7 linked regions of the Cricetulus griseus genome follow. The protein of the gene in region 1 interacts with the protein of each later gene in a pairwise test. Links are inferred from orthologs where the notes say so. Each region holds a gene or a part of one and is shown in the gene's direction. Other genes may lie near its edges.

What was found.
Region 2: the proteins of Egfr (region 1) and Cttn interact in binary tests that used the Homo sapiens proteins (3 or more experiments, as listed by UniProt). The link is inferred for Cricetulus griseus from reciprocal best matches to the Homo sapiens genes EGFR and CTTN.
Region 3: the proteins of Egfr (region 1) and Snap25 interact in a protein complementation assay, tested with the Homo sapiens proteins (2 studies listed by IntAct). The link is inferred for Cricetulus griseus from reciprocal best matches to the Homo sapiens genes EGFR and SNAP25.
Region 4: the proteins of Egfr (region 1) and Sorbs2 interact in a protein complementation assay, tested with the Homo sapiens proteins (2 studies listed by BioGRID and IntAct). The link is inferred for Cricetulus griseus from reciprocal best matches to the Homo sapiens genes EGFR and SORBS2.
Region 5: the proteins of Egfr (region 1) and Cntn2 interact in a protein complementation assay, tested with the Homo sapiens proteins (2 studies listed by BioGRID and IntAct). The link is inferred for Cricetulus griseus from reciprocal best matches to the Homo sapiens genes EGFR and CNTN2.
Region 6: the proteins of Egfr (region 1) and Abl2 interact in binary tests that used the Homo sapiens proteins (3 or more experiments, as listed by UniProt). The link is inferred for Cricetulus griseus from reciprocal best matches to the Homo sapiens genes EGFR and ABL2.
Region 7: the proteins of Egfr (region 1) and Fkbp8 interact in binary tests that used the Homo sapiens proteins (3 or more experiments, as listed by UniProt). The link is inferred for Cricetulus griseus from reciprocal best matches to the Homo sapiens genes EGFR and FKBP8.

The regions. Positions count from the first base shown.
Region 1 is NW_023276807.1:89,407,801-89,412,014, reverse strand, and holds the start of Egfr (epidermal growth factor receptor), read left to right. Parts: upstream 1-1,414; 5' UTR 1,415-1,429; coding exon 1,430-1,510; intron 1,511-2,131; coding exon 2,132-2,315; intron 2,316-4,214. UniProt on the Homo sapiens protein: Receptor tyrosine kinase binding ligands of the EGF family and activating several signaling cascades to convert extracellular cues into appropriate cellular responses.
Region 2 is NC_048596.1:56,912,094-56,915,593, forward strand, and holds part of Cttn (src substrate cortactin), read left to right. Parts: coding exon 1-59; intron 60-513; coding exon 514-624; intron 625-1,456; coding exon 1,457-1,567; intron 1,568-2,917; coding exon 2,918-2,973; intron 2,974-3,500.
Region 3 is NC_048599.1:41,904,731-41,908,967, reverse strand, and holds the start of Snap25 (synaptosomal-associated protein 25), read left to right. Parts: upstream 1-1,437; coding exon 1,438-1,509; intron 1,510-3,490; coding exon 3,491-3,532; intron 3,533-4,237.
Region 4 is NW_023276807.1:40,741,506-40,745,005, reverse strand, and holds part of Sorbs2 (sorbin and SH3 domain-containing protein 2), read left to right. Parts: coding exon 1-686; intron 687-3,125; coding exon 3,126-3,214; coding exon of another isoform or gene 3,215-3,217; intron 3,218-3,500. UniProt on the Homo sapiens protein: Adapter protein that plays a role in the assembling of signaling complexes, being a link between ABL kinases and actin cytoskeleton. Can form complex with ABL1 and CBL, thus promoting ubiquitination and degradation of ABL1.
Region 5 is NC_048598.1:56,645,874-56,649,373, forward strand, and holds part of Cntn2 (contactin-2), read left to right. Parts: intron 1-99; coding exon 100-227; intron 228-490; coding exon 491-666; intron 667-1,107; coding exon 1,108-1,228; intron 1,229-1,698; coding exon 1,699-1,857; intron 1,858-2,319; coding exon 2,320-2,469; intron 2,470-3,500. UniProt on the Homo sapiens protein: In conjunction with another transmembrane protein, CNTNAP2, contributes to the organization of axonal domains at nodes of Ranvier by maintaining voltage-gated potassium channels at the juxtaparanodal region. May be involved in cell adhesion.
Region 6 is NC_048598.1:35,301,439-35,305,416, reverse strand, and holds the start of Abl2 (tyrosine-protein kinase ABL2), read left to right. Parts: upstream 1-1,178; 5' UTR 1,179-1,302; coding exon 1,303-1,459; intron 1,460-3,978. UniProt on the Homo sapiens protein: Non-receptor tyrosine-protein kinase that plays an ABL1-overlapping role in key processes linked to cell growth and survival such as cytoskeleton remodeling in response to extracellular stimuli, cell motility and adhesion and receptor endocytosis.
Region 7 is NW_023276806.1:248,450,300-248,452,549, reverse strand, and holds the end of Fkbp8 (peptidyl-prolyl cis-trans isomerase FKBP8), read left to right. Parts: intron 1-565; coding exon 566-643; intron 644-909; coding exon 910-1,041; intron 1,042-1,310; coding exon 1,311-1,397; 3' UTR 1,398-1,750; downstream 1,751-2,250. UniProt on the Homo sapiens protein: Constitutively inactive PPiase, which becomes active when bound to calmodulin and calcium. Seems to act as a chaperone for BCL2, targets it to the mitochondria and modulates its phosphorylation state.

The DNA.
Region 1 (4,214 bases):
AAACCCAGAGGCCATATTTCTTCACTCTTAGGATAATTTTGGTTCAAAGTATATCCTTTAACAAGCTCCCTGCTTCAAAAGCTCCAAGCCTCTTTGTTTTGTTTTGCTTGCCTAAACATGTCTCCCCAAAAGCCAAGTTGTGAATACCATTTTATTACTATCCTTTCCTCTGCTTCTAAATGCAGACTACTGAGTGCATTTCTGTGGTATAACTTTGGCCCCTAATTTCGCATGTTTTCTCGGATTAAGTCTGTGTCTTGACAGGCTGTATATTGGCGGGGATGCAAGACAAACATGGATACCTGTGTTAGTTGGAATAACACAATGTGAAAAAAGACAGAAGGACATGTTGGGTTCTTACTAGCCTATGGCTTTAAAGCGTTATTTTTCAGTTTAAAAAAGAATTCTGGGTATTCTATAATCAGAACTTTGATTTGTCCTTGAATGATTCTGAGGAGTATTTTTAATTTCTAACAGCTGACTTTTAAAATTCCATTGTTTTCATTGATTTTTAGGTATATAGAATTGGGGTTAGAAAACATTGCCGATTGTGTCTTGTGGTTTTGGAGACCCTTTGTGTACACAACAATGTAGCACACATATTTTTGTGAAGTAAAATGTTCATTGCATTGTTATTAACTCATTTTGCAATTGTGTCATCCACAGAAATTTAATTGCTATCTTTCTATTTTAGAGACTTCTGCAGTTAAACTTGATTGTCAACATGACAAGATTTAGAATCACTATAGAAATAGACATCTGGGCATATCTGTGAACAGTTTTCTAGATGAGGTTAATTGATTTGGGAATTTCTACCCTAAAGGTGGCCAGAACCATTCCATGGTTGGGGTCCTCAAACTAATTAAAATGGAGAAAGAGAGCTGAGAGGTACTTACCTCTCTCTTCTTCCTGACTGTGAATGCAATGTGACCAGATGTTCCACATTTTGGTTGCCATTCCTTTTCTGCCATAGTTGACTGTCTTCCCTAGAACTGTAAGCTGAAATAAACCCTTCCCTCACTAAGTGGATTTTGTCTGGTGATTTGCCACAGAAACAAAATAAGTAACTAATACAATCCTCTATACAATTTACATCTCCCCCGCCTTCCACTTTTAATGCTTTGTTTTCTCTGTGTCCTTAATATCACATGATTGCCTGCATCACAGGGATGAGTTCTGTCTCACGATGAATTACAGCTGTGTAAACTTAAACATCTCTTACCACATCAGCATTGTGGTGGCTTTGATCAAAGATGATTGTTAGTCACTGTGGCTCAGAAAGCTGATGAGTATTGTTTTGTTGTGGTTTGCTACCTTACTCGGCATCTTCTGACAGACCTCTTTCCCTTTTATTCTAGTTTGCCAAGGCACAAGTAACAGGCTCACTCAACTCGGCACTTTTGAAGACCACTTTCTGAGCCTGCAGAGGATGTTCAACAACTGTGAAGTGGTCCTTGGGAACTTGGAAATTACCTACGTGCAAAGGGGTTATGACCTTTCCTTCTTAAAGGTTAGTTCGTTTAATGTGGTTGTCCTATTCAAACACTATCAAATGAAATATGAACACTCAGTAGAATCTGACTTGAGGCATGGATACTTCATCTTATGGAAGCCACAAATCCAAGGGACTATAGGAGAGTGTTATGAGAAGTCCACTCTTCCAGCTAAAGTCAAGTTGCTTGTGGGGGAAAATGGGAGAGAAACCCTTCTGATGTTCCACAGTCCTAAATATTCCTAGTGAGCCATTAGGAGCCAACTCTGAAGGCTTCAAAATCTGCTATGCAAACACTTGGACTTCAGCTGGGTTTACTTTGCCTTTATTTCTTTTTCATTTTTTCTTCCCCTTCTCCCTCACTTCTTCCTTCCACAAGAAATCATGAGAGATGAATTCAAAATAGTTATTTTCACTTCCATTTATTTGAGTTAAAGTGGGAATCACAACATATCAATCAGCTGTTCTTTAATGTAACCTTCAAATGAAACGTGAAAGAAATCATTGCAAATCCTGCCACAACCTTTACCCACATGTGATTGTCTATGTGTCTTAGATTTATCTGCCACATGAATGTGTCATTGTGAAGTTAAATGGGGCTCCTGGGCCCACTTTAATAGGCTTTGTTTTCCCTCTCAGACCATCCAGGAGGTTGCTGGCTATGTGCTCATTGCCCTCAACACTGTGGAGAAGATCCCTCTGGAGAACCTGCAGATCATCAGGGGGAACACTCTGTATGAAAACACCTATGCCTTAGCTGTCCTGTCCAACTATGGGACAAACAGAACCGGGCTTAGAGAACTGCCCATGCGGAACCTACAGGGTAAGAGGTGGGACATCAAGGCCAAGAGGGATTCTGATGGCATGTGGCAAATCTGTCATTTCAGTTAATCCTAACTCAGAGAAGACATGTTTGTGAAACACATGTACTGAGTGCTGTTTGCAGGATTCAGTGGGTGGCAGTTACAAAGATGATAGGTAATGAGATGGAAAGAGATTTCAGCCAGGTAGAAACCAGTTCTTCCATGGATGAGGAATAACATCCAGAGATGGAAATAAATGACCAAGTTCTCCGGTCAACCTCGGTGAGTGAGAGTTTGTGTTAATAGGAAATAAACTTGGGCCAGAGGCAGAAAGGACATGCAGTCACTCCCTCATATTGCAGGGAAGCATTCCTAGGCAAAACTGGATGTCTGAAACATTAGGTGTCCAAAACCATACATGCCATGCCTTTCCTGAATCTATATGGCTCTCATCATTCAGTTCATTGATTAGGTATAGCAAAACATTAACAACAGCAATGAAAAATAACAGAACAATTAGTGTGCTTCACCAAATGCTTGTGAATTTGGTCACTTGATGTTTCTCCCAAAGTGGACCAACAGCAGTTGGACCCCAAAACCACTCATGGGAAAGGGATCTAATGTATTTAAAATCTGTCCTGTTTGAGGAATAGGTTTCAAGGTTAATATTGTTACATGGAAACTCAGGTGTAAGTTGGGAAGAGGAAGGAAGATTTTGGAGTTGAAGAGGAAAATGGAAAGGGTGGCTGAAATGATGAGAAACAACAATTCTTCCTCCATTTCCTGGACTGTTTCTCAAGTCAGTAACTCCACTTAATGCCACAGCCTTCCATAAAAGCAGGTGTTGTACTCTGTCATTTTACAGATAAAGGCATGGCATTAAGATAACTCTTCCTGTACCCCATGCCTGGTTCTTTCATCCCTGTGTGCCCTGCAGTTCTGATGGGGAAGCCATTTGGACTGGGAAGGGGATGCGGTGGAAGAAAAAGTAGAGAGAATGGGACCCTATTGGTGTGTTGAGCTAGGATGTGGCCACACAGCCAGCCAGACACTTCCTTCCTCAGCTCCCTGGTTCACCATCCCATAAACTGCCTCCAGAATTCCCACCCACCACTTTAACTGCTCTGAGCACCCACGCATGTTTCTGAATTTTTGCTAGCATTCATCTCTCCTGTACACACATTGCATGAAATGGCCTGTTTGGTACTTTCGGCATGCCTTGTTCTGCCTATCTTGCCTCATACATGTGAGGAAGCCAGCGGGTGTGAGTCTAGATCCTGGAGCCAGGCTGTCTGTGTTCCAGCCCCAACTCCATCACCCGTCAGTCAAACGACTTTGCAGATATTCCTTCACCTGTGTTTTTCTCTGTATCTCAGTGCCCTCACGTCCAAAATGTAGTACACATATTTGTTAATGTGTTCCCTCTGTGTTGACAAAAATCAACTGTATTACTACAGACAAAGCATGCCTCAGCTATTGAGTTCCTACTTTGCTGTTGTTGTCTATATGTGTGTCTGTGTGTGCATGCTCTAACTGAACTACCCCTATTTTCTAATTAAAGCAAGGTTATAGTTTTATTGGTCCCAGTTATTTAATATAGGACTACTGCCACAACTGAGCATTTCCCAAATGTTGAAATAAAAACAAAAGATTTGACTTTCTACTCATTGCCTTTCTCTATTCAGTTAGAAGGAGGAGACTAGTGAATCCTGCCCCCGGCCAATTATCAGTTACCTATTGTTGGCTCTCCCACCTCCCTGTGCCTCCTTGTCTCTTCTCTTGGTTGTCACTGCAACCTTGATGTGCCTGTCTTCTTTTGCTAAGTTTGACCCTATACTTCTGTCTCCTCTTGTTTCTATCATACTGCTGTCATCTCTATTTTCCAGGTAGAGCTCCACATCTTGGCTCTTTCTGACTTG
Region 2 (3,500 bases), on another chromosome or scaffold:
CAAGAGCGCTGTGGGCTTTGAGTATCAAGGCAAAACAGAGAAGCATGAATCCCAGAAAGGTACCTGCCACTTGTGCTTAATCTAGCCAGCCCCTCGCAGGGTGACAGGTGTGGCCAGGATAGAAGAGAAAAACTGTTGTCACCTGCAGTTTTACAAATGGTCAACCTAAGACAGCTGCTCGCAGCCTGTGGATACATAAGAACTCGGGCATTGGCCTCATCCTTGACTCTAAGCCCTAGTGTTGTTTGTGTCAATGCCCCAGTCACTCATGTCTGCCTGTGAGTGATGAGACCTTGCTGCCTCAAGGGCCGCATGCATTGGCTTAGCCTATTTAACCACACTCCTAAGACACCATTATCTTGAGGGAGGGCCTCTGATGGGTCTCATCCCAGCTGTTTCCTGGGGGAAGCTCGGGTCCAGTGAAACGTGCCTCCTTGCATCTGAAGCCTGCTTCCTCCCCCTGTTCTGGGCTGCGCAGTAATGCCAGGTTATGGCTTTCTGTTGTGCATGTAGACTATGTGAAAGGGTTTGGAGGAAAATTTGGTGTGCAGACAGACAGACAAGACAAGTGTGCCCTTGGCTGGGACCATCAGGAGAAGCTGCAGCTGCATGAGTCCCAAAAAGGTACTCCCCTGCCCCACCCCCAGCCTTCCTCAAGGGCCTTTGAGAAGCTTGTGTTCATTCCTCAGTCGGCCACGTGCCTCATGTCCGCTGTGTTTCTGTCTGAATTTCATTTTCATGGTGTGAAGTTGTGTCTCCTCTGATTCCAGAGGTCTGCATAGGTGGTAAGGGGATAGGGTGATCCTGTCCTGTCCCCACCCCCTATGCCAGTGCTGTAGCAACTGGGAGCCTGGTTCCTGTAGCACTCATAAGGGCCTTTGGCCCTCTGGGTTCCCAGGGTTTTCCCTTTTGAGGTGGGCTATGGTTTGTGGAGGGCACACTTCTTTCTTCAGTGCTGGGGATAGAACCCACAGCCTGGTCTATGCTGGGCAGATTCTCTCTACCTCTGAGCCTCCCCTCAAGTCACACTTCCTTTGTAACTGGGAGAGTTTTCTTGTCACAGTGGGAACTTTGTCCCCGGAAAAGCTGGTTTGAATAGAGTAAAACACTTGTAGTTGTCCCCAGCTGTCCCTTCAGCACAGGGAGTGGGGCTAGTAGCCCCTCTGTTGTCCCTTTCCTGTGGGCAGCCTGGGAAGGACCCTGCAGGCAAACCTCAAAGCATGGAGTAGCTTTAACTAAACTATTTACCATCCAGTTCCGAACCTGCTTTCAGCTGAAGTATACTGACTTGGAAGTTTGTCCCTTAATCCTGTGGTCAGTGTTAGACCCTCAGGCCCGGATCAGCGCTCTTTCTGTCCGAACATGATATATTTGATCATTGCACATGTTCATGTGACTCTAATCTGGCTGTTTCCTCTTTCGGTCATGCTCCCCACTGTCTCGCGTGGATCTCCAGACTATAAGACTGGGTTCGGAGGCAAATTTGGTGTTCAGTCCGAGAGGCAGGACTCCTCCGCTGTGGGGTTTGATTACAAGGAGAGATTGGCCAAGCACGAGTCCCAGCAAGGCACAGTTGCCCCTTCCTCCTTCCAGCAGCCCTTGCAGTGCAGCCCACTTGCAGCATAGACTTCAGGGTTCACCACAGTGCCTGTGTTAGCTCCCTGTGCCTCCAGCCGCCAGGGATGTCCCCACCTAGTTTAATGCTAAAGCAACATCCTGGAGCTCTGCCCCTTTCCTCCATTTCCCCTCTGACCTTTAGAGTTCAAGTTAGGAGGCACTCTGCAGGCCAGGGCAGTGCAGTTTCTGCAAGGGACACATCTGGCCTCCTTGCTGCTGACCACCAGTGCTGAATCTCTGAGCCCCTCCTCATTGCCTCTGACCCACAGGGAAGTGGGTTTTGCTCTCCCAGACCTGATGTTAACTAGACACTGGGGTCATGGAGAAAGACAGGCATGTTTCGTGTAGTCTCTGTGTCTTTGTAGTGAGTTTTTTTTTTGTTGTTGTTGTTGTTTTTTTTTTGGCCAGGTGTACAAGGTGTGTTTGGAGTTTTTTGTTTGTTTGTTTTGTTTTTAACCACACCATCTGTGTGTAGCATCTCCACCCAGAGCCACACTGTATGTGCACACTGTGCGCATGGCTGATACAGGCAGGTCAAGGCATGCCCTGGTAATCTCAGTAGCTATTGCAGTTTTTTTTTTTTTTTTTTTTTTTTTTTTTTTCTCCTCAAGAGATTAGACCTGGTTCCTAGAACCCAAGTGTCCAGGCAGAGGCATGTGACTCCCTGAATCAGGGTGGAGTGTAGACTCCCAGATGCCATCAGGCCTGGGGTGGATGTACTTAGTACTGGCCTAGAAGACTGCGTGGAGGTGGCCGTTGGTTCCTGTAATGTCGAGGCTGCATGACTATCACTTTCATGTGTTTGTGTGTGTGGCAGCAACAGACATACTTGTCTGGTGGCATTTCGACACGGAGTTTTGTTTTTGTTTTTGTTTTTTTTTTCTTTTAAAAAGCAAGAGAACAAACTACGGTGGGGCCTCTATTTAGTGCCCAGTAGAGCAGGCGCCCAGGAAGCAGATGAGAATAAGTCCCTGGCTGGTGTGAAGACTGTGCTATAGAAGTGTGCACTGCAAAGGCCTGTCCTGTGACCTTCCTCCTTGGCTTCCTTCCCACCGGCCTGCTGCCCATCCCCTCCCTCTCCCTATTCCTGGAAGCATGCCCACACCTCACCTGCTCCCTGCCTGCACTGGGCACTGTGGTTAGACAGCTGGCTTTGCCAGGAGAGCCCATCCTCGGGCAGCTTTCACCTCCCTCTGCTCTGGTTCGTGCCCCCGGGCTGTTTTGTGGATCCCTGTGCATGTGCCTGCCATTGCTCGCCCAGTCTCATCCTCACAGAATTCTTGCCTTTACTACCTTTCAGACTATGCCAAAGGATTTGGCGGGAAGTATGGGGTACAGAAGGATCGAATGGACAAGGTAAGACCAGCAAGATATTGTGGGGTGTTCTTCTGAGGGCCTTTGGCTCACAACATTGGAGGTCTGTCCAGAAGCATTAGGCACATGTCATTCCATGGTCCTGGGAACCTTGCATACTTCATGTAGCACACTGTGGGTCCATTCTGTTTCACATTTGGAGCTGAGGCAAGCAAGCCAAGTACCTGGTCACAGCATCACAGTGAGTAGTAGGGTACAACCCAGGGATTTGATGAGAGGGTCTTAGGGACATGTGACTATTTGAACTTTTGTTATCAGTAGGCCAGTCAAGAACCAGTTCTTGGCTAGCACTTTGGAAGTGCTTAGTGGTCACACCTAGTCACTGGCTGTCACCACAGACAGCAGGAGCTAGACCATTAGTCTTGCTGCACATGGCCCACGGGTGAGACACACTAGTCTCTGGCCTGTCCTTTCTCACTCTTTCCTTCAGATAGGGTCTTGCTCTGCCCCCCAGGCAAGCCTGGAACTTGTAATCCTTCTGCCTCAAGTTTCCATAGTCTGGCACTGAT
Region 3 (4,237 bases), on another chromosome or scaffold:
CACATTTCAAGGCCCTGGGCTCATTCCACTTTGGAATAACAGTTGTTTACCTGCACACAATCTTGACAACCTCTAATAACAATGCTGAATGCTTCTAAATACAATGGGATGTTACACACAAACAAATAGGAATGGTCTAGCAATTGTGCTATCATATGGGAAAATTTCAATATAATACCAAGTGGAAAAGCCAAGTGTTTCATTTATACATAATCCTAAGACATACCAACTATAGTGACAAAAGGGAGGTCAACAGCTTCCTCGACATAGGAGGATGTAGAGAATAGCAGGTAGAATAACAAAGAGTATACAGAAATTTGGTGGGGGATTAATGGACTGGCTCATTTTCTTTTTCAGAGCAGTGGGTTACTGAGTGTTTTACAACTGTATGATTTAGATATGTGCGCTGTATTTAAATGTGTATGTTTTTAAATATGTCAACTGTTTCTCAATAAAACTGTTAAATATAACTAAATAAATATAACATTAAAAAATATAAGAACAATGGCCTGCATTGTTCACCACATCATTCCCAAGCTTTGTATGGTTTGCGTCTTTAAAAAAATACTCTAGATGAAGCCATTTATGTTCCTGTGAACCTGCTGTGGTGATATGTTATTTATGATTTATTAAAGCTTGCCTGAGGAGTCAGAAAGCAAAGTCAGCCACAAGCCATAGAAGCCAGGCACACTTCTTTAATCCCAGAAGCCAGAAGCTAGGAAGTGGAGGTACATACCTTTAGTCATAGGACTAAGATTAAGAGGTAAACAGATCTCTGTGAGTCCAAGACGACCCAGATCTACACAAGAAGTATCCAGTCCTAAAGAGAGAAACAGCTCACATAAAGATGATCCCAGCACCTGGGATCACACACCTTTAATCCCAGCATTAGGAAGGTATATAAGACAGGAACTAGGTCTCAGTGTCAGGTATTCATTCTCCAGCCACATTGAGAATAGGAATGCCTCAGCCTTGTTAGAGGTAAGAGCACTTTGGTAGCTTGACTGCTTTGCTTCCCTGATCTTCAGGTTGAACCCCAATATCTGTCTCTGGGTCCATTTATTTTTCATGTTACAACCTGTAATTGAAACACTCAGAAGCTGAAGCAGAAAGATGGTGAGCTCAAGGCCAACCTGGACAACAATGCCAAGCTATCATAAAACATACCAATATGTGACTGTTTTAGTGATGGGGTTGATAAAACACTCATTCCCAGTACTTTTTGGAGAAATGACACAATTCTATTGATTCTTATCTGCGCTTGGCTTCCAGTTCAGAAGTTATCTAAACCCTGGTGACAGTGTGACACTTAGACTTTCCAGTATGCAGTCATTCATATTAGCTCTCATATTCTCCAATATGCTTCTACTCAGGTTCTGTAGCCAAATCCATTGCTGACTTGCTGGTCCAGGTGCCCAGCAACCCCCTACCATTACCATGGCCGAAGACGCAGATATGCGCAATGAGCTGGAAGAGATGCAGAGGAGGGCTGACCAGCTGGCTGATGAGGTAAGGCATAGAGAGGCAGGGGGCAAGCCCAACACTGGAAGGTGGGTGGTTTCAATTCAGATTTTGAGAAAAGAATTCTTCAATGTCTAATTTTTTTTTTAAGGTGAAAAAAGAACTTCCTTTTTCTCTAAGATTCCTGCAGGCTAGACAGGATTGATTATAAGGCGCAAATACAAATTAACATCTCAGCCCTGAGGCAGGACTCCTAGACACTTGGGAGGGCAGGGTCCTCTAGGAAAAACTTTATCTTTAGATACCTAACAGTATGCCATGGTTACCTCAGTAATGAAGGTTACTAAGTGTGGCTATTACTAAAATTGAAGTACATAATTTGAAAATAAATATATATAATTAAAGCAATGGTATTATGAGCTCAAAAGTCATTACTTGTAGCTAGTTTAGCACATTTTTTCTGCTATCTATGCCCTTGAGTCATTTACACTCACTGTATGTAAGAAATGGAAACTGCAGAGTCAGTTTACCACACTGCACTCAGAAACCAAATCAAAAGCAATTATTGAGAACCAGTCATTGGCAAACAATATCAGTTGTGCTTGCTTTATTGTTTGTTGATTACCTATAGTTAAGACAGAAGGGAAAATATTAATAATCTAGATAAAACTTTTTAATTATGTATGTCTGTAGCTATTACATTAAGAAAATAATATACAGAGTTGGGTGGGGAGGGAGGGTTGGATCAGGGAGGAGCTAGGGGTAAGAGTGGAAGAGGTGAATATGATCAAAATTCATTGTAAGGCATTCTCAAACAGTAAAAATGTTTTTGAAATATAAGAAATTTTGAGGAAGTCCTCCATTATTTGGAAACTTATTTTTCAACAAAAACATCACCTTCTTTACTAATGAGACTAATTCTAACATTAAGTCGTCACTGCTTCAGGTTCTTCTTATTCATGAACATGAGTGAAGTTATCCAGTTGCAGTGACCATGTTAGAATTATACTAGTTCATCATATGAGGAGTCATAGATAGACAACACACACACACACACACACACAAAAAAAAAAAAAACTGACAGGAGTTTTGGGTGAGAATCAACCTGCTACACAGAACTGCTAACCAAGGATGCTGTGTTGCATCATGTGTCAACTCTGTGCTCTCTGTGTTTCACAGCCTTACAATAGATGCAAAGATACATAAATGTATTTATATTTTTTCCCAGAGTCAGAGCATTTTGCCAACACATCACTGATAATAGCTATTTTATTACAAAAGGGAGTCCACTTTAAGTCCATTGCAGCAAAAATTCACATCCTTCAGGCTCCTGCAGAAACTTGTCCAACATAAATTTGCTATTTGAAAGCATGGTTTTGAGAAATCACACTGGTTGTTGCAGTGGAGCTATGTTAAAGGAACTGAGAACAAAGTGGTGATGCTGTGCCTGAGGGACCAGCTGCCAAGCTCAAAGCTTTCTTCATGCTTTTTTTCTTATCTAAAAATGAAGGTAATTACAGCTGTCTCCTATGGGATAGTTATTGCAAACTTGCTTGATTTTTTTTCACCCTAAGGCGACAGCTTAATTTGTATTGATAACAACTTCCAGTTGTGTTTCAAGGAGTTTTAAAGGAAACTCGTTAAACTCATCTCTCCTCATGAAAACTTATGTTTGTGTTTAAAATTCAATATCCCTAGTTCAGGGAGGCCAAAGTAGTCCTTGAAGTATATGAGATAGTTTTCCAGGCATCCAGAGCATACAAAATGATTTGTCCAGATTGCTTTGCCTTTGATATCAAGATCAGCCTCATATGGTTTTGGTTTTATAAAGATAAGCTTTCATATGATTGCTCTGGGAAATCTGATCATGTAGAAAGAGATTGAAACTGGGAAGACATTTGGTGTTTCTGTTGCAAAGTGTAAGTCATGTGTGATAGGGACCTTTGTGTTTCTCATGTGAAGAAAGCATTTCTGACTTGCCTAGTGCTCTGTTAGTGCCTTTAACAGTGTTTATGTTTTTCCATCTTAGTCCCTGGAAAGCACCCGTCGCATGCTGCAGCTGGTTGAAGAGGTAAGGAGTGGATTCTATTAACATAAACTAGGTCCCTATGTTGACATGTTCATTCCTAGCTCCTATTGTTTTTCCCTAAACCATGGCTCCCTGGCTTCCAATATGAACATAGCGTATCAGAAAATACTGGAGATTTTGGCATGAGTTGTTAGCTAGTTATCAAGGTGACCTCACCACCCTCCAGCCTAGGCTACCTCTGCAGTGCATAGTACAGAGAAACCTACTATTTCTAAGCTCCTGTTCCCAACAGTCACAAAAGTGGGTCCCAGTAAGCAAAGTGGTGCTTAATCTATGAAGGAATTACCTACATAAAAGTCTTCATTTGTAATGATTTTGTTGCAATATATTACAGCTAATCTAAAATTCTTTTCTGACTCCAACTATATTTATAACTTTGAAAAATATGTATTTATGCAAGCATATCATCTTTTGAAATTGTTGTATTTAGTGTCCAGCACGAAAATCTAAGAAAAAATAGCAAAAATCTTAAACAAAGAGAAAAATCTAGTCCAATTAAGTAAATATAAAAGTTCTTTTATGTGACTGACTCTGAATTGCACATCCATTTCTAAAGCATTTGTAATTCATGGTTTAATGAATCCCAAACCATTTTTAAATGGATAAAATAGGGCAGATAGCAATAATGGAATCAAAAAAGCATTTGCAATAAAACCTACTCATTCCAATTTGGTAGAACAGCAGTCA
Region 4 (3,500 bases), about 49 Mb from region 1:
CGACTATGTTCACGTTGAAGGGTCATCCTTTTGCAGTGAAAGTGATTTTGACCATTTCTCCTTCACGTCTTCTGAAAGCTTCTACGGATCCAGCCATCACCATCATCACCACCACCACCACCATCACCGGCACCTCATCAGTTCCTGCAAAGGCCCATGTCCAGCTTCTTACACTCGGTTTACCACCATGTTAAAACATGAAAGAGCTAAGCATGAAAACATTGACCAACCCAGAAGGCAAGAAATGGACCCCGGCCTATCTAAACTTGCATTTCTAGTCAGCCCCGTGCCTTTCCGAAGGAAAAAGAATGTGACTCCCAAAAATCAGCCTGAACAGGCCAAATGCAAAGCCTCTGTAGTTGAGGCTCTGGACTCCGCCCTCAAAGACATCTGTGACCAAATAAAGGCCGAGAAAAGAAGGGGGAGCCTACCAGACAACAGTATACTGCATAGACTTATCAGCGAACTGTTGCCGGAGATCCCTGAGAGGAATTCATCCCTTAATGCTCTGAGAAGGAGCCCAGTGCATCAGCCTTTCCACCCACTGCCTCAAGATGGTGCTATTCATTGTCCACTCTACCAAAGTGATTGTGGGAGGATGCCTCACAGTGCCTCCTTCCCAGACGTGGACACAGCCAACAGCAGCTACCATGCACAGGACTATGGTAGTGCACTGAGTCTCCAAGGTGGATGAAGTTTTCTTTCTTTTTTCCCTTGTGGTTCAGCTGCCATCCTCCCAACTCATTCTTTTTTTTTTTTTTCATCCTGCATCTCTCATCGCTCTTAAGCTGTGAGACCACTTGATGTCATTATGTGTTACAAAGAAAACCTGTGCTGTGCAGATGTGTCTGACTCGGTAGCTCTCTTTTGCCTGTGTGATATTTGACGTTCATGTGTTGACTGAAAGTAATCATCAACTTCCTAAGCATTTGCTCACTTCAAAATAAAAGCAAGCCACATTTGTCACTTAATATTAGGGTTATAACAAGTAGGACTTTGAGAAGACAGATGAGATGAAAAGTCCCCATGTCATTAGTGACTGTGTATATTTGCACTGATGCTACGAAACACGCTTCACAAACAGTAGATTACAATGTTTTTTAAAAAGACAGTTCTGGACATTTTCAGATTAAGATATGTCAGAATCCAACTTTCTAACAAAATAGCCATTTTCCTCAGTTATCTTATACCCTGAAATAATCACCACTCAGATTCAAAATAATATATCAAGACAAAACTATAATTCAATATCCGCATCTCTAAGATATCATTTTGATTCATTATGAATCAGTCAGTAGTTTCACTACTTGGCCCTTGATTTCTATATTCATGCTAGAACATCGTACCTGTTCACTCAAAGAAATCTGTCCCCACTCAGCATATATGCTGAGTGTGTGTATGTCTATATATATAGAGAGAGAGGGGGGAGCTTTAGCCACATGCATCCCCTAATTGAAACCCCCATAAGTCAATGAATGGGTATTAGTGTAAGTGCTGTTTTACAATGGAGGAATTGATAGACAAAGAGGATATAATTCCTCAGTCTTACACAGATTACAATAATGTCAAGAGAATTCAAGGCCCTATTAACTCAAAATGTATAATATAAAATATAATTTCTAGGGGCAAAAGGAAACAAAACTTAATAACTAGTGGATAATTTTACTTATTAACATTTACCTTCACTTTAATTTCTACTGTGCAACATGCTGAAAAACAATAAGTTAGAGTAAGGGCTGAGAGATTGCTCAATTTTAGGACCCCTTGTTCCTTCCTCTTCCAGAGGATCCAGGTTCCATTCCCAGTGGGCACATGGCAACTCACAACTGTCTATAACTTCAATCCCACAGAATCTAATGCCCTTTTCTGGCCTTCAAGGGCACTGAACATACATGGTGCACAGAGAACAAGCAGATAAAACCCCAAAATCCCACACACACAAAAATATATATAATAAAAATGATATATTAAGAAATAGAATAATAGCATAATAGTAAAATAATTTAATTTGTTTTATAAATAGACTTATAAATTTTAAATTCAATAAGTCATTTAAAATTTCTAATCAGTTTCTATTTAGACTAAAAGAAGTTTCATCCAATTTTTTAACTACCTTCTTCAATTTTCTGGTCCTCTATATAAGCATAGTACATCATCAAAACATGAATTTGAAACACTGAAAAATTTATACCATACATAAATAAAATTTATCTTAATGATTTGTATTATTTAACATATTTAAATTTGTTAAAGTGAATAAATAATTTTTAAACTTAGACCCAGGTACACAGATAAAATTCCCTGATGCCACCAGAATACAGGCAAACTTTAGTTACATTCCTACATGCAAGTCATACAACTATGGAAGTTTTAAGAAACTGAGAGGGATATTTGCAGTCATAATTTTCAAATGTAATTATTTAACTTTGCTTTAATGTAAACAAGACCTCAATATACCATAAGCAATTTGGCAACTTCATCTGAGGCTTTTCTGGTTGACATTTTGTTTTCTGTAATAATTTGCTCTCTGATTACTTGAACATTTGTGTACAAGGGAAAGCCATAAAGGATATAAAATCATAAGACCCAATAATGAGTATTTACAAACAGAAAAGACACACACACACACAGAGCATGGGAGAATATGACCATAGTCCTGTCATGCTCACAGTTTATCTTTCATTTCATCATTACTTCTTAAATTGTATTTGATATAACATTTTCTTCCTACAAATGTGTAGCTTTTAAATTCTTTATATATCTTATGATAATAATTTTATATTGAAACCAAAAAGGAATAGAAATTTTAAGCATGATAAATTTAGAGTATGAAAATCCCTGCAACTGTGAATTATCTACACCAAGGATTGCAGTGTAAATAATTGGCAATATAATAATATTTTCTATAGATTATAATATTTCTGTTGTGTATTTCTTCATTTTCAATGTGTATGTGTGTCTTATATCATACTTTACAGTTAATTATGAGTTTTCCATCCATGTTCTCACTAGTGACACCTCACCAAATTTGGGGATAAAGTAATTGCCAGCAGGGAAAAGTGGCTAAACAGTCTCTTTTCAATGAAATCAAATCTTATTCTGATTCACCTTATTATTTCCAACAGACCATGAGTCACCTAGAAGTCACTCATCTACTCTGACTGACTTTGGAAGAAGTGCATCTCGGGAACGAAGGGGAACTCCAGAAAAAGAGGTAGTTAAACAGTTTTTAAAAGAAACTGAGAAAGCACTTACCAGTCAAATGTGTACCTCAAACAAGGAAAGAATTCAGACTGATGCCTGACAGCAACAAGAAGAATCTAGAAGCAGTTCTGCTTAGTGCCTGTGTCTAGAATGTGAGCTCCAGTCACTCCCAACTTGGGATGCACTTAAGGCAATGAGGCCTTTCTGAGTTTGGGCCTGGTAGTCATGAACTAATAGAGTTCTAATTAGCCTGCTTTGTGGAGGGAGGGGAGTTTCTACACAAGTACTTTTGCTGG
Region 5 (3,500 bases), on another chromosome or scaffold:
TGCCACAACTGAGAGGGCTTCTTGGAGGCCAATCCCCTTTCCATGGGCCACAGTGAATCTATCCCTGGGTTGACCAGATCTTTTGTGTCCTTGCTGCAGAGTGACGGTAACTTCAGATGGCACCTTGATTATCAGAAACATCAGCCGATCAGATGAAGGCAAATATACCTGCTTTGCTGAGAATTTCATGGGCAAAGCTAACAGTACTGGGATCCTGTCTGTGCGCGGTAAGGACTGTGCTCTGCTCAGACCTGTGGTCAGCTGCCGGGGTGCTGTTCTGACAGCCATCTGCTACTGGTCCCATATACTTCTGCTTCCAAGGCTACCTCAGAACTCCCTTTCTCTTGGGACCAACCCTGGCCAGCTTCCAGAATCTGGCTGCTCATGAATTTTCTTCTTGGGGTACAGGACAGAGGCTCTCCCTGCCTGGGACTTTTCCATCCTTTACATCAAAGAGCTTTGTTTTTGTTGTTGCTATTTTGCTTTGTAGATGCAACCAAGATCACTCTAGCCCCTTCAAGTGCTGACATCAATGTGGGTGATAACCTGACACTACAGTGCCATGCCTCCCATGACCCCACTATGGATCTCACATTCACCTGGACCCTGGATGACTTTCCCATTAACTTCGATAAGCCTGGAGGTCACTACCGGAGGGCCAGTGTGGTAAGGCCAGGGGTCTTGTAACTCTCCCTTTTTTCAGATAAGACAGGGGACCTGATGTGTCCTCAGCCATCACCATCTTCAAGCCCTCCAAAGTTCTCCCTAACCCCTGAGGCAGTGCCCAGCAAGCCCATCCTAGGACTGACAGCCACCTTTTCTGAATCCACCCAATGCCTGTTCTTCTAAGTTAGAATCAAGCGTTAGCATTCTAAGTGCCCCAGGAGGGTCTCTCTGCTACTCTCGCTCTTCCCCAATACAAATGCCCATGCAGACTGTCTTATGTGACACACTTTGTTGTTCAGTGATACCAAGTAGTGATTCTTCCCATTGAACAGACAGGAAAACAGAGGACATAGATGCCAGGCAGCCAGAGAATTCAGGTTCTGTTTATTCTAGTCAGGGCCTCCCCCTGACTCATCACACCTTGCTGTTCCCTGTGCGCAGAAGGAAACTATTGGGGACCTGACTATCCTGAATGCCCAGCTACGCCATGGAGGGAAGTACATGTGCATGGCCCAGACAGTGGTGGATGGAGCATCCAAGGAGGCCACAGTCCTGGTCCGAGGTGATGGGAGTCGGCTACCCCAGTTCCCTGAGAGGCTCTAGGCTGTTTGACCCTCCCCACCTCCCTTCACTCCCTGAAAGCTGAAAGAAGTCACAGAGATGGACACGTCTATTTACTTCCTCTGTGGTTCTTCGTGGGTCCTAAATGAGTAGAATGTTTCTTCGGAAGCTGTACTCGAGAAAGAAAATGTTCCCTAAATGTCCCAAGACTCTGCTAAGCCCGAGAGTTCCAAATTCGGTGCTGGGAAATCTATGCATCCCCTTATGGACAGCATCTGTGAGCCTGCAAGTCTGAGACACAAAACTTCCCACCATGCTCCTCTGTCCCTGTGCTCTGGCTTTCCACCCAATCTTTCCTGCCCTGTGATGCCCCATCTAGATATTGAGCCAGTCCAAGCTGGGTCTGGAGAAAACGGGCTCAAACTGGGAGCTGTCTACTTCTGACCCAGTGTACTCTGCTTCTTGGTACAGGTCCTCCAGGTCCCCCTGGGGGTGTGGTGGTGAGAGACATTGGAGACACCACTGTCCAGGTTAGCTGGAGTCGTGGCTTTGACAATCACAGCCCTATTGCCAAGTACACGCTGCAAGCTCGAACTCCACCTTCCGGGAAGTGGAAGCAGGTTCGGACCAGTAAGTGTGAGGCCCCACGTGGATCAGTACTGATAAATCTCCCACTGTGTGCACAGCAGGAGACAGGGATCAGAGAGTCAAAGGCTGAGCATGGGGCTTGAAAGAGAATTAAATTGTGTTCTCTATCTCCAGGGAGCACCTAGGCAGGCAGGGACACAATTATAGCCAGCAGGAAGGTAAGGAGAGGACTAGAGGAGGCACTTGGTCTGTACCTTTGAAGCCTTCAAAGGATTGTTGCTGGAGATTGCCAGCATGCTCAACATGTGTGGAGTGAGGAGCACACAGCATTGGCAAAGGCCCTGAGGCATCGGAGCTTAGTAGCTTTTCAATCAAGAGTAATTGAAGGCTTAACATATGGTAGCACCACAATGAGGGCAGAATACAAAGGTCTCACAAGCCCAGTACCTGCCCTCATCCTGGCAATAAATGGATGCTAGCCATTGACCCCCTTGGACCTTGCAGATCCTGTGAACATCGAGGGCAATGCTGAGACTGCCCAGGTGCTGGGTCTCATGCCTTGGATGGACTATGAGTTTCGGGTTTCAGCCAGCAACATCTTGGGCACTGGGGAGCCCAGCGGGCCCTCTAGCCGAATCCGGACCAAGGAAGCAGGTGAGTGTCTGGGGTTCTAAAGGACATTTCTCAGCAGAGGGTGCCCTAGTGGGAGCTGGAACAAAGTTCCAATTGGCTTCCCAGTCCTGGGCTCTGATGTGGAAGTCAAGAGGCAAGGCTGCTGCGTGGGCAAACTGCCTGATCCAAAGCCCTTGCTGAAAGACACTCGGGCAGGCAGATCTGTGGTCATTGTCTCAGCTTAGAGTTTAAACAGGAAAGCTGGTTTGAACAAGGGAAAAAAGTCATGCTGGGGGAGCCTGATCTCGAATCTAGGACAAGAATCTTGAGCTGTTTTTAAATGTATACAAACCGCAGAAATCAGCTAACAAGGAAGGAGTCTGTGAGCATATACACTTGTGTGTATACCCATGTGCTATGTGGGGGGCTAGAGAAGCAGCCAGACTCCAGGCCCTTTTTATCTGGTATCTGTGGAATGGAAGGGATAATAATCTGTCTGTGACCCTCAGTGAAAGTGCATGTGTGTCATAGCCCAAACAGGCAAGTGTGTGAGAAGAGAACCAGGAAGGGAGACAGACATGGGCTTAATCTGCCCAGAGTCACCAGCTACATTCTGACTATTCCCAAGGGAGGACCTGGGATCATGTGACAGCATCATGGTCGGCCCTGTCTCCCTCCTTCCATTTGGCCAGACCTGTGCTTATGTATGGTGGAGGGTCCACCTCCATGTATCCCTTAAACATGCTCTCCTACCTGCTCCAGGCTGACTCCCCAGGCTCTGGAATCACTCAACATTTTTATCAGGCATCTGTCTAGAGTAGGAAATTCCAGAGGGCATGCTCTCTGACTGAACTTCTTGGGAATATGGGGTGAGAGGGGTCTGTCTCTTTGATTCTAGCAGCTCAAAAACTGATGGGCATACAAGCACAATGCAAAGAGACAGTGGTGATCTTTAAAATCATAAAAGTGGAGATCACAGTCTAGCTGAGTTGTACGTTAGCTGTGTGAACTTGGACAAGTTGCTTAACTGCTCTGGACCTCAGGCTTTCTGTCTTGGAATGCGCTCCTCAGAG
Region 6 (3,978 bases), on another chromosome or scaffold:
TCCAGTCCTCATTCAAAAGCAAAATTTCAAGTGGTATGTCCAGTAACTGAGCCTTTTAAACAAACTAACAAGGAAGTCAAGGGAATAGCAGGAAATAAGCATCACTGAGTCTTAAAAAAAAAAAGCAAAAAAACCCCTACAACTGGTTCAACATTAAGAACACACAATGGGGTAGGATGGTGAGACAATTGCACACAGGGTTTATGTCAATAAAAGTCACTTCTCTTCTTCCTGTGACACTATTTAGACAACAGAAGCTAAAGATGAGTAAGTTCTGACTCAGAAACAAGGTCAAAGTGATATTTTTTTTCCTTGTCAACAAAGAAGGGCCTGATCTCGTGCACAGTGAGGAAAACCTGTCCGTAGGGGAGATTGTTAGTTTTACTGTCAAGCGTTTTAAAGCAAACTGAAACACGTGCGGTTAGGTAGACGGGAGAAGAGTTCAGGAGCCATCCACGGTAGTAAGAGAAATTTGGTTACAACTGCTTTGCCAATAACACCTCAAAGCCCACACAACCTAGGCGAATGGAATTTAACATCAAGAAATAATTCCCCAAATTAAAATTAAGTTAACCCTGCACTTTACCCCAGGAATTTTGTACCATCTCACACTGCACTCTAGGCCTGCTGCTAAGTGTGTGTCAAGGGCTCTTCAATTGAATGGCAGCGAAGCACAGGGATTCACAGCCTCAGCTGTTGGCTGCTGAGCTGAACCGGTGGTGAGTTCTCAGCCTCTTCTGACTTGACAGGTGGAGGTGGGACAGGAAAGATTGGGAGGCCCACACTTCCTCAAGAGGGGTGATGTGGAGCCCAACGTGGATGGACGTTTGCACCGGCAGGTTCGGACCCGCAGGCCGGGCGCGGTGAAGCATCCGAGCCCCCCCCCCCCACGGCCCCCAAAGCTTCGGTGGATCAGTGGGCCCTTGCCTCCACCCAGCGGGGCGCGGCGCGGGGCGGGGCCACCTGGAGCTCCGCCCTCCGAGTAGCGGAGGTGCCTGGGCAAGAGGGGGGCGGGAGACGCTCTGTCCCACGCTCGTCCTGTGCTCGGTGGTTTAAAGATGGCGGCGGCGGCTGGGGCGCGGAGCCGCCGGAGGGGGAGGGAGAAGGCGAGTCTGTGAGTCGCTGGGAGGCAGCGCGGCGGCGGCTGTTAAGGAGTCCGCGTGCGGAGCCGCCGGCGACTCGGGCCCGCGGGGCCTGGGCTTGGGCCGGAGAGGCCGGAGCGGCGCCAGGAGCTCCGAGGCCGGAGCAGAGGAGGAATGTGAGCAGGGGTCGGCGGGGGCGCGGGAGTACGCGAGCGGCGGGATGGGGCAGCAGGTGGGCCGCGTCGGGGAGGCTCCCGGGCTCCAGCAGCCGCAGCCGCGTGGGATCCGGGGCAGCAGCGCAGCCAGGCCCTCGGGCCGCAGGCGGGACCCGGCGGGGCGTACCGCGGACACCGGCTTCAATGTCTTCACCCAGCACGGTGAGTGTGTCCGGAGCCGGCGAAGGGCGTGAGGGAGGCCGGAGGTGGGGTGGGGTCGGGGCGAGGTGCGAGGCGGACGGGCAGCCCTCGGGGGGCGAGGGCTGGAGGGGTGCCCGCGAGTGGGGGCGGAATCTGCTGCCATCTGGGCCAGTCACGGGAGGCGAGGCACACCCCTCCCCCCGCCCGGCTCCGCGCTCCAGCCTGGCTGGCAGCGTCTGGGGGCCGCGGCAGAGAGCGAGGAGGGGGTCTTAGGGACCCAGGCTAGACTGGCTGCTGTCCTGGGACAGGACGGGGGGACTGTGGAACAAGGGGTGGTATCTATCCCTAGGGAGGGAAGGATGAAGGCAGGTATGAGCACAGGTTAAGGAGGTGGGAGGATAAACCGGTTGTTAACGACGGGAACGAGTTGTGCCCTGAGGAATTGGGAAATAGGTACTGCATCTTAAGCGATCGTGGCATATTCGGTATGTGTTTTATTAATCGGGCAGTGAGCAGTGTCAGAATGGTGAACTGTGAGCCCTTTTTAGCATCTCTCTACTTTCAACAGAGTCTTTTCCCTAAACTAAAAATGAAGGGCTTTACCAAACCACCCTGTTTTGTGTATCTTGAGTAGGACACAGGATTCTGAGATGGCTGGTTGGGGCTGTAGATGGGTGGGTATGGTTAGGGCTTCCATGAGGATATGAATGAGTTTTTCTTTTGAGTCGCAGTTGTGTGTACATATACGCATAGGTAGGTGCTCCAGGCAGTCTGGAACTTACCCTGTCTTAAATAGTTTTTTAGAAGAGCTGTCTCTAAACTATTTAAAATTACATTTATTTTGTGTGTGAGTATATGTGTGCGGGTGCATGTATGCAGGGCTCAGAAGACAACTCCGGGAATCACTCTCTCCTTCCACCATGTGGGTTTCAGGTATTGAACTCACCACCAGGCTTGGAGGCAAGTGCCTTTACTTACTGAGCCATCTTGTTGGTCCAGTGACTCTAAACTCTTAATAAATACATTTTTGAGCACATACTCTGTTAATTTGTCTTTATTATATACATTAGCTACTGTTCTAGTAATGTAATTAACAAGCAGAAATAGAGTATAAGAAAGGGTACAGTGGGAAAAATTAAGTATAGAGCTCTGTAAACCAGGGACAGTGCACACAGTATGACTGAGGCCCAGGTTCAAGCCCCAGCAGCAAAAAAGGAGAAAAAAAAATGAGTATTAATTTTTTTCTAGAAGCCAAGTGGATTCTTTTGTTCTTCTGTGGTGTTGTTGACCATTTTTGAGAGCACTAGAGGAGGACAGACTAGAGAAGAGGGAAAAGAAGCAGATGATATCCTAATACCCTCACGAGACTGGTGATGTAGATGTGACTTTTATCGAAAGAACTGACTAGTGTAAACTGGATGAGAAGTAGCAAGTTAGTTTCACTGACAATACATGTATGCAAGGTAAAGGATAAACAGTGCCCCACACCACATAGTTTGGGGAAAGGGAAGGATAGGAAGTGTAAACTGGTCACAAGAAAGGGAGTTTTAAAGGAAGTGATGATAGATGGTAGCATACAAAAAGATGGTTCTGGGGATTTATAGCTATTGGGTGAGTTGTGTCTGAATTCTGCATTTGGACTTCTTTGTTTTCCCTTTCCCTTCTTCATTCTTTCTCTTTTCTTTTTTTAAAGATTTTATTTGTTTATTATGTATACAACATTCTGCTTCCATGTATATCTGCACACCAGAAGAGGGCACCAGATCCCATACTGGATGGTTGTGAGCCACCATGTGGTTGCTGGGAATTGAACTCGGGACCTCTGGAAGAGCAGCCTGTGCTTTTAACCTCTGAGCCATCTCTCCAGCCCCTCCCCTTTCCTTTTTTAATTTTTAAAAACCAGTTAAAATTTTTATGTGTGGGTGTTTGTTGCATGTATTTCTGGTCTCCTCTTGAAACTAGAGGGTGGTGGGTGAGCTGCCATGTGGGTGCTAGTGATTGAACCCGGGTGCTCTAGAACAGTAGCGGGTGCTCTTAACCACTAAGCCATCACTCCAGCTCCAGAGTTGTTTCTGAATGGAGGAGGCAGGTGATTTGGGGCTTTCTTAGTTTTACATGCTCACTGTTAAAGATAAGCTTGAGCAGCTCTTCAAGGTGTATTGATTTATATGCAGGTGCTATTCATATAGTGTTTATTGAAATAGTAAAACTTAGGGAAAAGGTTAACAGTTTTCAGGGAGAGATCCACATAGCTTTACTTTGTGGGATTATTGTACTAAGCATGGCCCAGAGGGCAGCAGTAACCCCTTCCCCCTTCCTGCCTGTAAGAAGGAAAAAGTCATGAATAGACTAGGAAGAGGTTTTGAAGGATGGACATGATTTGGACCTGTGGGAAAATGGGAAGTCATGGATGAAATAGTCAGGAGATGCTAGAACAAAAATCAGAAGAGCAAAGTATTTGGGTTTTCCTCTTCCTTTTTTTTTTTTTTTTCCTTTTTGTGCTATGGGACCTTACTATACAACCCTGGCTGTCCAGGAAC
Region 7 (2,250 bases), on another chromosome or scaffold:
CAGTCTATCCCCTCTGCCTGGATTGTTTGGGCCCAGGGCAGTTGTTTCTGGGCCAGGGGAGGTGAGGCACAGAGACGCATGAGGTGTTTGAGCAGCTCATCGGCTGCTGCTTATGAAGCATGTGTGCAGGGGGAGCCAGCTGTCATGGTCTGGGAACCCGCAGTGTAGAACAAGGCCCTGTGGCATCCATGGGCCAGACAGACCCAGCAACACAGCCAAAGCCTAAAGAGAGATTGAAGCCCCCAATATCCAGGAGACTGAGGCAAGAGGATTGTCACAAGATCCAGGCCATCTGGGCTATAGCAGAAAAATCCAGAAAAATGGTCAGTTATTGGAACTGCTCCATCAGGGGAGCTGCCTTCAGATCTGGTGGGGTTCATAGGACTTGGGGTGCTGAGTCTGAGCTGAGGTCCCTGTACTCTGAGGGTACCTATCCCCAAGTAGTGATGCAAGTGCCAAGCTGTGTCTCACCACCAGACTGTGGCTTGAGATCAGGGAGTCATTGCAAGGCTGAGGAGAGCGAGGTTCTGGGTGGATACAAAGACTGGGTGCCCCTCTCCCATAGGTGCTGGCTCAGCAAGGTGAATACAGTGAGGCCATTCCCATCCTGAGGGCTGCCCTGAAGCTGGAACCTTCCAACAAGGTAAGTGGAAAGGACTCTGGTGGGCTTGTCTAGTAAGTCCCCCAGTTGTCTATTTCTACTTATTACTGCCATTCTAGCTTTTGGCTTGCCTAGGGGTGGGGCAGCAGCTCCCACTTTGTAAGAGTGGATTGGAGTAGGTAGAACCTCCACTTTCCAGGGGCCCCCACACCTGACAAACCTGCGTACCAGAAGAGGGGAGCAGTAGTGATGACAGGCAGGCCTGCCGCCTCCTGCACTGTGCACCCACTGCCACCCTCCTCCCACAGACGATCCATGCGGAGCTCTCCAAGCTGGTAAAGAAACGAGCCGCACAGCGAAGCACAGAGACCGCCCTGTACCGAAAGATGCTGGGCAACCCCAGCCGGCTGCCCGCCAAATGTCCTGGCAAGGGGACCTGGGTGAGCTGGGGTGTGGCTGGGCTGGGGGCAATGCTGGGGATACAGACTTCAGCCCAGGCTGAAGGAGGGACTCTGGAGCTGCAGGGCTCATGGTGAGGGTTGGAGGTTCATGCAGAGGAAAGAAATACATTGAAGGAGTGGGTGTTTGGATTGGGTTGGGGTGTATGTAGGAGTGTCTTAGAAATGCTAAAAACCCTGCTAGAAGGTCTGTGTGGACCATGGTAGTTGCTTCAGCTATGCAGCCAGCCTTACCCTTCCTTTATCCACAGTCCATCCCATGGAAGTGGCTGTTTGGGGCGACTGCTGTGGCTCTGGGGGGCGTGGCTCTCTCTGTGGTCATTGCTGCCAGGAACTGACTGCCCCCTGCACACCTGGATCCTGACCTGTGCTCCCCAACTCCCCCAGGCTCCCTGTCCACTGCCCTCCCTGGCTGAGCTGCCTCCTCTGGGTTGGGGAGTCAACGATTGAGGGTCATACACCTCCAACAAGCAGGAAGGACTGAGGCCCTGAAGGGGGGCATGGGGTGCAGCCCAGAGGGAGGGGCCCTGTTCCTCTAGACCCAATTGTCTCTGTCCCATTTCTTCCCTCTGGGGTCAGGCCTCAGTTTTTCCCTCTCAGTAGGCCTGGGGGCAGCCCTTACTACTAGTCCTGCCCATTTGCCCCCTGTCCAGGCTCCCCTACAGCGAATGAAATAAAGCCTCACCCCGCACCCCAATGTTTCCCGAGCCTCCTTCTGCTGAGGCTGGACCAGAGAAGGCCTGTGAGTCAACAGTTGAGCCAGGCCCAGCACAACAGCTACCTTAAGGAGGGCTGTGGACCCAGGCCACGCATAGCTGCACTCCAGAAGACTTCTGCCCACTCCCACTTTGCGTTACAATTTTGTGCTGATTTTCTACCTGCAGTAGGGTCCTTTTGGGGTTGTGCAGTTTCTGGGGTCACTTACTTGGTGAGTGTCACTGGTCTGGCATATATGAGATGTTGGGTTCTACAAGGAAGAGGTGGAGCACCTTGGCAGTCGTGGTCTTGGGGTGGGGTGGGGGTGGGCAGATGTTGGGTTTTGATCCAGGTGTGTGTGGGGGGGTTATGGTCACCTAAGCAGGGTTGCTGTGTCTGGGGATTAGGAAGGCTGGCCCAGGGAGGTGTCCTGCTTGACAACAGGGACTCTGAATTCTGCTGATGGAAGAGGGGGCAGGGGAGCTTGGCCCTGCA